3 linked regions of the Xenopus tropicalis genome follow. The protein of the gene in region 2 purifies or fractionates together with the protein of the main gene of each other region. This does not show direct contact. Links are inferred from orthologs where the notes say so. Each region holds a gene or a part of one and is shown on either strand. Other genes may lie near its edges.

Region 1 (4,132 bases), on a different chromosome or scaffold from region 2:
CCAACCCCAACCTCCTATCATAATCATTGCCCAGACACGCCTTATACTGACACCCATGTCCCCCAAGCAGCACCCATAACCTTATGTACAAGCCCTACTTGCTACCAGTAAACTAACCAGCAGTTTCCCAGGCTCGCAGGATTCTACCTCCAGCCTATCAGAACTTTGCTCAGCCTTCAAGCCCAACGTCAATTCTAAAGGTGGCCATACACAGCCAGATCCTCTCATTCGGTGGGGTCACCAAACGAGCAGATCTGGGCCCACCACACTGGGTGGCAGCTTTTATCGGCCATAAATATATGTCGCTGACCAACACAAGTCAGTAATAGGGGGAAAGAATTGGGTCCAACTTTTGGCACATAAAATTAGCCAAAGGTTAGGATTTAAAGGCACAGTAACATCCCTGTCCTGCGATTATCAAGTCACATTAACAAATGAAACTTGGCAGGGCTTACTGGATTCCTATGTAGTCAGCTGCTTAGTAGTCATATCATGTCTGAGGGTTGGATAAATATTGAAATGAGGAGATCATACGGACGAGTATAAGCAGCCACTAAGCCCTAAAACGTGAAAAGCCACATTTATCCCAGAGGCTCCAGTTGGTCAGCCCTGCTTTCATTAAAGGGGCTCCTATAGTAAACACAAATTATCTATATATGCATAATGTACTATAAAGCGTTACTAGGGAAGATTCGGGCAACTAAATGGCCTGTGGGTCAGGTGGGGCCCTCCAATAAGTACTTAAAGCCCCCAGCCTAGGCAAAGGCTCCACTGCCTTCTTTGTATCATGCCATAATATCAATATAATCCATACCCTGTGTGTGATTGTTGTCCCACATAGCAGGAAAGTTATGCAGTACAAGTTGCACAGCACTGCTCCCAAACAAACATTAAGAATGCAGGAATTGTAGTTCATATCTGCTGGACAGACTAGAGCCTGACACCCCCGCCTTAATGGAACTGGTACAATCCTCTCTGCCTTTAGATTTCCCATTATGAGAGCTGTAGTCTCCTGCCGACGGCTGCACTGCTGCACAGACTACACGCTGCCATTTCTGAATGAAGGACACCTACTGGCTCTGATCCAGCTGTATCCCCCATAATGCAAATTCAGCAGTTTCTGTCATATACAGTTCATCCTTTAGCAATATTACATTGATTATTTGAGGCTGTGGGTTGGGAGAAATTTGCCATTTGCAGGCTTGGGCTTAGCACGTGATGCACGGCCCACACATACCCTGCGGCTTTACCCGTTTTACCCAGTGTGACATCACTTCCTGGCCCAGCTCCTTCCACCCTTATCATTATGACGACCCAGCTCAGCTACATCTGACTCTTCCTGGCCACTTTCTTTTATAAACTTGCCTCTAACCCACCCCCCTCTGGCAACATCAAAAGTGGGCAGGTAGGGCATGGGTTTATAAGACATGTTAACACAATGGGTCAGCCTGGGCTTGCGTGGGTTCAGGGCAGAAGCAGGTCAAAAACTCTTGTTTTCTCAGCAAATGCATATATGCTTGGTAGAAGAAACAGGAGGTAAGTGCACATTAGTACTTCCTGTGTCCTTGGCAGTGGACCCAAAACGGCCACCGCTAATGAGATGGAAAGTGCGATTCTGTAAAGGAAAAATCACATAAAGTGTTTCCATTGGGGCAAGAGTGGTCTACTCTTCACAGCAGCAACTTAAAGGAGAAGGAAAGGCTAATAGAGAGTTAATCTCAAGCTGCAGGCATACCCTCAGTTCTCTCAATAGTGCCCTTAAGTCTCCCCATATTTCTCCTGTTCAGATGATCAGAAGCCTCATAGGACAAAAAAAAAGGCTGAGTTCTTTAAAGAAAATTCCCATAAAGCCTCGCTCCTGCACCAAGACCAAGACTGGTGTACATGCTCAGTTAGTTAGACTATGAGTCAGCTTCCTGCTGATTGGCTCAGATCAAACATTCCTAAGGGGGGGGGGGGAGTTCTTAGCATTCTTGAGGGGGGGGACAGGAGAGAGGAGAAAGCTGCACAGACTCTGGCACAGGAAAACAAAGACAACAAACCCTGTTTCTTTTGATAGAGGACTCAGTGCAGCGTTTGTGTGAGTGCTTATGGCTGTATTTACATAGACCTTTCTGATAAAGCTTAACAGGAGCACCAGCCCGGGGTATCAGGTAAGTGATCTTAGTCACTTGGGCGGGGCGCTAACATTTTACCCCCCAATAATTCCCCCTTTCCTTCTTCTTTAACCCACCAACAGGTATTCCAAACCACAATCAAGTGTAAATAAGCCCTGCAGATATAAAGGGGTGTATTTATTAACATTGGAAGCCAACCTAACCAATCATGGGCACCATCCCCAGTGATGTTTGTCTCCAATGTTACCTGTATGGGGCCAAAGGGACACAGAATGCTACTGGCTGCAAAGGGAATGCAATAAAAGTACCTGCAAGTGGTGTCCAACTAAATGACAGTAAATACAAATACATTTATGCTACATACTAAAGCAAAATGACATTCCAGGCAACTTCCCATGATACACAAACACTGCTGGTTCCGACTGCTGAAACAGCTCAGTAGCGGGGCAGTGTTTCAGTTACAATGACCCCCAAACTAACTGTACCATTTAATGATGTCGTGCACCAGCGGTAGGAAGGTATACTCCTCTTCCTCCTCCTCTTCGGCAGCTTCATCCTCCTCTTCTTCCTCCTCCGGCTCCTCAGCCGGTCTCACATTGCCGCCGGTAGCCATGTTACTATCGCTGGCTTCACCGGCAGCACAAATACTGCGTCACAAGCTGTGCGTCGCGGCCTGTAGCTGAATACGGCGGTTTCGTAATGATGTCACTGGCGCGACCGCGGCTTGCGCGACGTCATAGATAAGGGCCCGTTCGGCTGCGCTAAGTTATTGACAAAAGGTTTCATTGTATATGGTGTTTGGTGATGGAAGTGATTCATTGAGGCGCCCTATTGCATGGGGCACTATAACAAGCAGCCCTTGTCACTTCAAAAACACCGTTGCATTATGGGATACGTTGTGACTAGTCCATATAGATTGTAAGCTCTACGGGGCAGGGACCTCCATCCTCTTGTGTCTTTGACTCTTAAATTATTGCAACTGTATCTTGTATTTATTTGTATTTATTGTTATACTTTGTATTTATCTATTATTATCTTAATAACCCCCTGTTATTAATCTATTCTTCTGTACTAGTGTGGTTACTGCTTCTAGCCCCTTTGGCGATTATAGACATTAGCATTAGAAACATATGTCGCTGGTGATGTTGCCCATAGCAACCAATCAGCATTAGATTTGAAGAGTCATAAAAGTTAGAAAACAAGAGTAAAACTCTTGATTTTTATGGGCAACATCAGTGGTGATTTTTGTTTCCAGCGTTAATAAATACTCCCCTCCATTTATTGACCAATAACCCTACTGTATCCATGGCCAGAGCTGTCGTTATAAGGTGGCGGATAAGGGACAGCTGCCCTGGGCTCTGTGCTCTATATACTTTTGTTCCCAAAAAATAGACAGCTAACAGCACTTCTGGTGTGGAAACTGTATGCACCAATTGCCATATTGTGGGGGTGTTCAGGGTGGCATAGCCCTAAAATTGAGCCCTGGCCATACAGCAGAGCCAGGGGCAGGTCTGGACTGGGATACAAAATAGGCCCTGGCATTTCCAGTACACAGAGGCCCAAACAGCCCCCCCACCAGCCCAATAAATAGCGACTGTCCATGGCATCCTACAGCAGCCCCTGAGGCATTTACTAGAACCCACTGATTGCCAGTCTGGGCCGTAGCTGGGGCTACAGATGGGTGAGTAGCTGGGGCTACAGATGGGTGAGTAGCTGGGGCTACAGATCGGTGAGTAGCTGGGGCTACAGAAGGGGGAGTAGCTGGGGCTACAGATGGGGGAGTAGCTGGGGCTACAGATGGGGGAGTAGCTGGGGCTACAGATGGATGAGTAGCTGGGGCTACAGATGGGTGAGTAGCTGGGGCTACAGATGGGTGAGTAGCTGGGGCTACAGATGAGGGAGTAGCTGGGGCTACAGATGGGGGAGTAGCTGGGGCTACAGATGGGGGAGTAGCTGGGGCTACAGATGGGGGAGTAGCTGGGGCTACAGATGGGTGAGTAGCTGGGGCTACAGAT
Region 2 (3,514 bases):
GCTGAACTAACAAGTATCACAGGAGCTGATCTGCAACAAGTGTTATTCAGTAAAGCAAAGCCTGCAGCATTCCCAGGCAAATGTACTCAGCTGACACTTGCCCAGCTCGCTGCAACAAACACTGCAGGCAACCTCCAGGACTTTCACGTGTTGCTTAAGCGGTGTGTGAAAGTCTCCCATCTGTCAATAGCCTACAGTAAAACATTTGATGCATGAACCTTATTAGTACTAAAGCTAAATACTGAATTATATATATTAATTATATATTGTAGCAGTGACAAATTAAATTCAATTAATACATCACAATACACAATTCATAGAATTTAAAAAAAAAAACAAAAAAAACCTCTGAAGGTAATTTAAAAAAAAAAAAAATCCACCAAGTCAAATTAACAATTATTCACTACAATGGCTGAACTACACCTTTTTGTATGATAGTCTGTGAATACAGTAAATGGTGAAGCTATTACACAGCCCTGATACATCAATAACTAGAGCTTTGATAGTTTCCAATATAATTTTATTTGGACATACACTGCTCATTTTGCATGTTTTAGGTTCCTTGTAAAAACCACACCATAAATCTAACACCACATTATGATGTGTTTCACACCCACATTTGACAGTTACTTAACTTCATTTTAAACAGACTATTTAGACACTACAAAGCAGCACATGGTAATTTACAGCACTGTACATTTATTACAGTCATTTCAGTAATAAAATAAGCCATGTCTGTTACTTACATGGTTCATTCTGTAAGGAAATTCCTTTGGAAATGCATATGAAAACCTAGTTTTTACTGTGGGAAACAAAAGAGGAACAAAATAAAAATGAATACTGATAGTGTTAAAGGACAGGGAAAATCAAACTATTTGTTAGCTACCTTATAATTACCAAAATATATTTTTTTTTTTGAACATGGCAGTGCTTATACTTTTTAGAAAAAAAAGCTGTCCCAAAAATCTATGCCACCATTTCCCCCTCACTCACAGGTATCCCTTGTACACCACAGAACATTCCTTGGAGCTTATCATATCGTGTATGCACCCAGCAGGAACTGGTGCAAGGGATACCTAGGAGCAGGTGAATGGCACTCTGGAAATAAGAGAAAAAAGGTGAATGGCACGACAAGTATGATGCAAGCGGGGCTTAGCCCCTGCGTGTTTATTCAAAGTGTAGCAACATTTCGGGGGCATACCCCTTCGTCAGGCATAAGGAAAATAAGGCCACCAGGTCATGCCTATCATGCAAAAATGCTAATAGAGTCTGCACACTGGTTCGGGAAACTGTAGTCTTTATAAACAAAACCCCTTTCAGGGCTCTGGCACACGGGGAGATTAGTCGCCCGTGGCAAAACTCCCTGTTCGCGGGCAACTAATCTCCCCGAGTTGCCTTCCCCCTGCCATCCCACCGGCGAACATGTAAGTCGCCGGCGGGATGGCAGACGAGGCGGGGCGATTTGCGCGAAATCGCCCCACCGCGTCTGCCATCCCGCCGGCGACTTACATGTTCGCCGGTGGGATGGCAGGGGGAAGGCAACTAACAGGGAGTTTTGTCGCGGGCAACTAATCTCCCCCGTGTGCCAGAGCCCTCAGAAGGGCTATGCCACTTGCACAAGGAAAAAGCTCCCAGAGGCCATGTTGGGGCACATGTATGACATCTTTACAAAACACTATTGTTTTCCCCAGTCAGAGTGCGGTTTCTATCAGCCACACCTAGGGAACCTTGCATGATAGGTTCCCTTTAAAGAAACACACTGACAATCTCTTCTTTAGAAAAAGAACTGGTCTGAGGTCCTTTCCTCCAGAGTGCTTTGTTTTATCAACCTGCCACGTCGATCAGGAAAGGAAAGAACAGAGTTAAAATAAATAAAATAGTGATGAAAATGGGAGGTGTGCCTAATGGAAGGTCACGTTATTACAAAACTACAGTCCGTTCTACTTAATAGCACAGTCCCCTGGAAATACAGTATGGTATGAAACAAACATTTCTATCTTTATATTCTCTCTCTTAAGTACATGCCTTGATGGCAAGCTACAAAACAGAGCAATACTAAGCAAAGAAACATTCCTTTACTACATCTGTGTTGACACAAATTCATTTCTGTTGCTTAGGAATACAGTAATAACATTAAACGAGAAAACACATTCTGTCACCTGTATACTAGAATTGGAAGCAATGTTATATGGTTTAGAAATATACCAAGCACTCCTGCACAACTATATTTATTCAGCATATGAAGAAGAAAGGGTCGTCAGTCTGAATTCTACTCGCTTTATTCCTTTGTAAACAAAACATTTTAAAGTCACTGTAAAAATTATACCTTAGGCAAAAGGCATGCATGCTCCTTTCACAGGCTAGGTAAAAATTACACAAAAGTAATTCACAAAGTGGTTTTATGTTCACTTGAACAAAACTGTTCAAGGGATAGTTCACCATTAAATTAACATGTAATTCTATATAGGACTGTGAAACTGCAAATTTGCAATTGTTTTTCATTTGTATAGTTTTTGAATGATTTCACTTTTTGTTTAGTAGCTTTCCAGTTTGGAATTTCAGAAGCTACCTGGCAGCTAGGGTCCAGTTTACTGTAGCTGGTTTGAATGAGAGATGGGGAAATGAATAGGAGAAGGCCTAAATAGAAAGATATTTGGTAAAATTGTAGCCTCACAAAGCAATAGTTTTTCTAGTAAAACTGTATACACTGCCTTTAGAGCCACAACTAATAAACAGTACATGTCACGGTCACAAGCAAATAAAGGGAAAAATAAGGATCATGAGACTATAGCCACACTAACAAGCCAAAACCTTTTGCATACAGAGACAAACCTTAACCATTTTTTCTTTTAAATGTAGAATATTCTGAAATACTTTTATACTTCTTTTATTCCCAATAGTACATTTTTAAAATCCTGTTCCTTTTTACGATTTACAAATTATTATATGTGTGAGATACCAATATTTCCAACAGCACTGTGCAGAAAAAGAAATACAGGATTCCAACTACATTAAAGTCTTCTCAGCTTTCTAACATTATATTCCTTGTCTGTGGTGAACAGCACACAAGTATATTTTATATATTGACAAATAAGGATAAAATTCAAAATCATCATAGTTCCAAATATTCTGATCAGGTTTGCTTATTAAATACTCACACACAGAGGTAGCAGCAGAGATTAATCTTGTGTTTGAAACAACACCAAATTCCTGAAACACAAACACAGGTTTGTTTGAGCTGATGACAGATCCATTAACTTTTTATGAATGTACTCTATTTCTAAATAAGAAATCATTATTATTGTGTCGTGCCCCAAACAAAAACTTTGGTCCGGTCAATCAACATTTGATTGAGACAAAATGGCAATTCGAATTATTTAAAGATCCCTTATCTGGAAAACCCCAGGTCCCAAGCATTCCAGATAATAGATCCTGAACCTGTATTAGAAATAGTTTTTCTTAAGAAACAAAAACCAATAGAAATTAATTGGATATTTTATTTGTAAAATAATTA
Region 3 (4,016 bases), about 4.8 Mb from region 2:
TGTGCAAAGAAGGAAGTGAACAGTTCTACAAGCAAATAAAATATTTCAAAACATCCTCCAATGAAAGGAAGTGCTACAGATAAGATTACAAGATTAGAAAATGATGTATTAGTCACCAACGTGACAATTTAAATATACTAGCAAAGGTAAGAGCCAGCAGACAGTTTACACAAACATAGCAGAGTAACCAAAAGTTACATGGGTCCCAGTTTTTTAAGAGATTTTATTGGCTCGAGGGCCATTTTTTATGTAATTAAAGGTCATGACAGACCGGAAGATTAGTCACCCTAACTGGTGGGATGGCATATCGGGGAGATTAGTCGCCCGCGACAAGGGAGATTTGTCGTGCAGCAACTTATCTCCCCGTCTGTCATGGCCCTAATGGTAATGTACCACAAACCTGCCCAACTACTACTAAACAAAGAATTGACAAGGATTCATGGGAGGTAAACAAAGGACAGGACAGTGGAACAGATAATTTATTACTAAGTATTTCTGTACTTGGGGAATTCTTCAAGAATATCTAAATATTACATTACTTAGATTTAAAAATAAGCAGGGTTATTTATGATGGTCACAAGTTGTCTCAGTGAGCATCTCAGCAAATGGGCTATTAGATGTTAAGGCATGTACAAGAGGCAAGGAACTACAAGCTTACATTGAGTATCAAATTGCCCCAAGTTGCCCCTGAGAGATGATCCTCGCCTCCAAACCATCACCAGTGGGAATGAGAAAAGTAAAGACAGAAGAGTTTGACTAGTTATAATCTTTGAACATTTACCTTTAGCTAAGGGGGCAGAGAATAAAATAATTAATAATAATTAAAAATGAATAGTTACAGGAAAACATTTAAGCTTACTCATTATACAAAGAGTGACATTTATGCATGGGCTGGAAATCTAATGCAGGATGTGAGTTAAACAATGGGACATGGAATTGTACAAAATGTTCCAGCAAAAACACAGAAATAATATGGAGGGTGCACAGGTACAGAAAGGGGAATATTTTTTTCTTGTGGAAAAAAAACAGTAGAAAAAGAAACAGACAATGCACTATTTGCAATGTAATGTGATGTCACTGCTACAGAACTAATGGATTTTTTTAACCTAATATAATACCTTATAAGTCCCCAATCTGTATTATTTAGCCTAAACCTGGCCCAGGTATGGGCTGCAAGACAAAACAGACCCTGGCATTTCAAGTACTTAAGACGCCCAAACAGCCACCCACAGGCCCAATAGTGACTGTCTATGGGCATCTTACAGTCCCTCTGGTGTTAAGCAGAATGTACAAATTGCCAGTCCAGCAACCCACCATTAAACCAGTAGTTCTACCTATGAAGAAGTGAGCAAAGCACTGTGAGAATTAGCACCTTCCCTGGAGGATAACTAAAGGGCCAGAACCAAGAGTTAAAAAAAAAAAGGGTTGACAAAGGATTGCATCTTTTTAAAAGCTTTTTTTATTGATTCTTAGTCCTGAGAATTAAAAAAAAACTTCATGCTAGATGGGCTAAATAATGTCTGTCTGATAAATAATTCAAAGTTCTTACAGCCATTAGTATAAGACTGCAACTAAAACATCAAACATGGAGGCGATTATAAAATCTTGCACATACACAAACATGCCAATGTTTTAAAGAACGTGTGTTTATTTAGCAAATATCCCAGAAAAATCACATAGGTGCCATCACAAATGTTTTAACCTGAATGAAATCAAGCAAAGCATCATTTCAACTTTATTAAAAGTCTTACTATGCTGAGTTTAGAGAACAACGCATTTATTTATTCCTTAGTTAAGCCTGAAGTATAAGCAGTCACTTCATATCATGTGTAATTGCCCTTTTCATACACACAGCTCAGCCTCCAGTGATGTTCAACTTGTGGCCCTACCGCTGCCCTTCACGAATCCCAGCGGGTAACTGTCTCCTCAGTAAAGGGCTGGCATCCTTACTGATCAGGACTGGCTCTTTAAAGAGAGGGAAAATGCCATAGAAATGGGTAATCTGCAAGACGAGGGAGAAAATATTGACACATGGTGCTATGGCAAACACTGAAGAGGAGGAACAGCGGAGTAGGTGGGACCACAAGGCTGGATTACCCCAACATAAACATTTGTAGCTCAGACTCCCTCCCCCTCCTCCCCCAGCACAAGTTCAGCATCCCGGGCGTGTGCAGAGGAGGAGGAGGGAGCTACAAATACACAGTAACAGCACATAACTAGCACAATATCCCCATCAATAACTTCCTAACATGACAAGAAATGCAGCATCTCCGGCTTTCCTCGTTGTCCGGGGGTTACGTGTATATGCAGTGCTGCTGGTATAACAAACACAAGGCTGTGACAGACATGAGTGAACACAATAATTACCTCATAGACACAATAGCAGCAAGCACATGCATTCTACTGTACGGAACCCACGCAGGTATGTGTGCACCTAGAGAGGTGCGTTTGCTGCTCAAGCACAGGACTGCGCGATGCTCTAGGTGGTCCGCACACAGGTATGAACAGTGACCTAACACACACCTCCCTCCCACACGCCCCTCCCTTTAGTGCCTCTTACCCATCTTTCCTCTTAGCTTTGTAAACATGCCCGTAGGTGCCTCGACCCACTTTGCAACCTTCATATTCAAACAGCTCCTCCACTTTCTCCCGCTCGGCGGACAGCTTGCTCTTAAATTCGTAATCCATCCTCCTCCACGGCTGGAGCGAGGGCGTATTTAACCCATCAAGGCTCAGCTATCGCCCCAACCCTTTGCTGTCCGTTGGCTACTGCCGGTCGTTACATGGAATAAGTGCCAGGCTCTCCCTCCACCATTTCCTTGTTTTTCTTCTTCTTTGCACATAGACGCATGCCATGTACTTTAGCGGGAAGAGCGCCCTCTATCTTTACTTTCAATTTCACTTCCAGCAGCTGCCCGCTCTGCCGTGGTGCTGCCAAATTGTGGAAGCTGCCCGCCTGAGAGGCGTCACTTCTTACCGGGCCTGTACTCTGAGCGGAGGGTTCCTGGGCACAAACAACTGGCAGGGGGAAAGCCTATCACTTCATTCATTACTTCATTGCTGGCGATGCAGTGCCTTCATGTTAATAAATGCGCGCCAAATCACACAATCAATTATAAACACATTTATCTTTGAAATAGTGTTTTTTTCAGTGTACTAGTCAGACATTATCCATAGAACTAAAATACATGGCAAAAAATGCCTTGTTCAGGTAGCAGGGAATTCAACCATGCCTAATGCTGGCCAGTACTAATAGATGACACTGCAAACTTTGCCAACTAGAATAGAGAGCACTGAAATAAATAATGAAAGCGCGGAGGGACTGTGGAGCCAGCTGTGGCCCAGTTCCCTCCGTGCTTGTAAGGGGTTAACTCACCAGCTAGTGCAGTCAGGAAAGGGCAGCCCCCCCTTGCTCGCTCCTCCTCCCTCCTCTGTGCCTGCATTCCCGTGCTGCTGCTGCCACTCTGCTTCTGGATTCCACCAAGCGGCATCCTAGCTGCTCCAACTGCTGCTGCTGCCTGTGTCCATCAGCCCCCACCAGACCCCAGCATGAGCGAGGAACTACTGGAGCAGGTGCAGGCAAAAATTGCTTCTGATGGAGCCGACTGGCTACAACAGCTACTTGGCCCCATCAGCACTGAACAGAGACAGGGGGGACAGGCAGCCGGCAGTGCTGGGAAGCGGCCGGCTCGCCGCTCCCGCCCTCCCTCTCGCCTGAGCCCCAGTCCCCCACGCGCATCCAGGCGCACGTCCTCTGCCGCTGCCTCCCAACCCCCGACTGTAGTCTCGAGGAGGCAGCGTGCAGAGGTCAGGACTGCGGCCCAGGCACCTATGGCGGTCACAGCCACTGCCACCAATGCTTCTCAAAGACAAAAGCCCCCAGCCAGTGATAAGGCTAGGCGGGCCACACACAGGCCCCCACAGTGGAAGTCAGCACCCCCACTGCATTCCCTTGCCCCTACACCAGTTGCAGTCCCTTCCCCCACCATACCCCCTAGCCCGGGACCCCTTTTTGC

What was found. The genes of interacting proteins can lie anywhere in the genome.
Region 1: the proteins of ccnc (region 2) and med9 purify together in Homo sapiens (affinity purification with mass spectrometry; 4 studies listed by BioGRID and IntAct, counting the BioPlex papers as one, with this or other methods). This does not show direct contact. The link is inferred for Xenopus tropicalis from reciprocal best matches to the Homo sapiens genes CCNC and MED9.
Region 3: the proteins of ccnc (region 2) and cdk19 purify together in Homo sapiens (affinity purification with mass spectrometry; 8 studies listed by BioGRID and IntAct, counting the BioPlex papers as one, with this or other methods). This does not show direct contact. The link is inferred for Xenopus tropicalis from reciprocal best matches to the Homo sapiens genes CCNC and CDK19.

Annotation. Positions count from the first base shown.
Region 1 is NC_030685.2:15,709,640-15,713,771, forward strand, and holds the start of med9 (mediator of RNA polymerase II transcription subunit 9), read right to left. Parts: upstream 2,813-4,132; 5' UTR 2,731-2,812; coding exon 2,603-2,730; intron 1-2,602.
Region 2 is NC_030681.2:82,034,694-82,038,207, reverse strand, and holds part of ccnc (cyclin-C), read right to left. Parts: intron 3,211-3,514; coding exon 3,159-3,210; intron 803-3,158; coding exon 747-802; intron 1-746. UniProt on the Homo sapiens protein: Component of the Mediator complex, a coactivator involved in regulated gene transcription of nearly all RNA polymerase II-dependent genes.
Region 3 is NC_030681.2:77,212,248-77,216,263, reverse strand, and holds the start of cdk19 (cyclin-dependent kinase 19), read right to left. Parts: upstream 2,813-4,016; 5' UTR 2,689-2,812; coding exon 2,561-2,688; intron 2,549-2,560; exon of another isoform or gene 2,368-2,548; intron 2,003-2,367; exon of another isoform or gene 1,629-2,002; intron 1-1,628.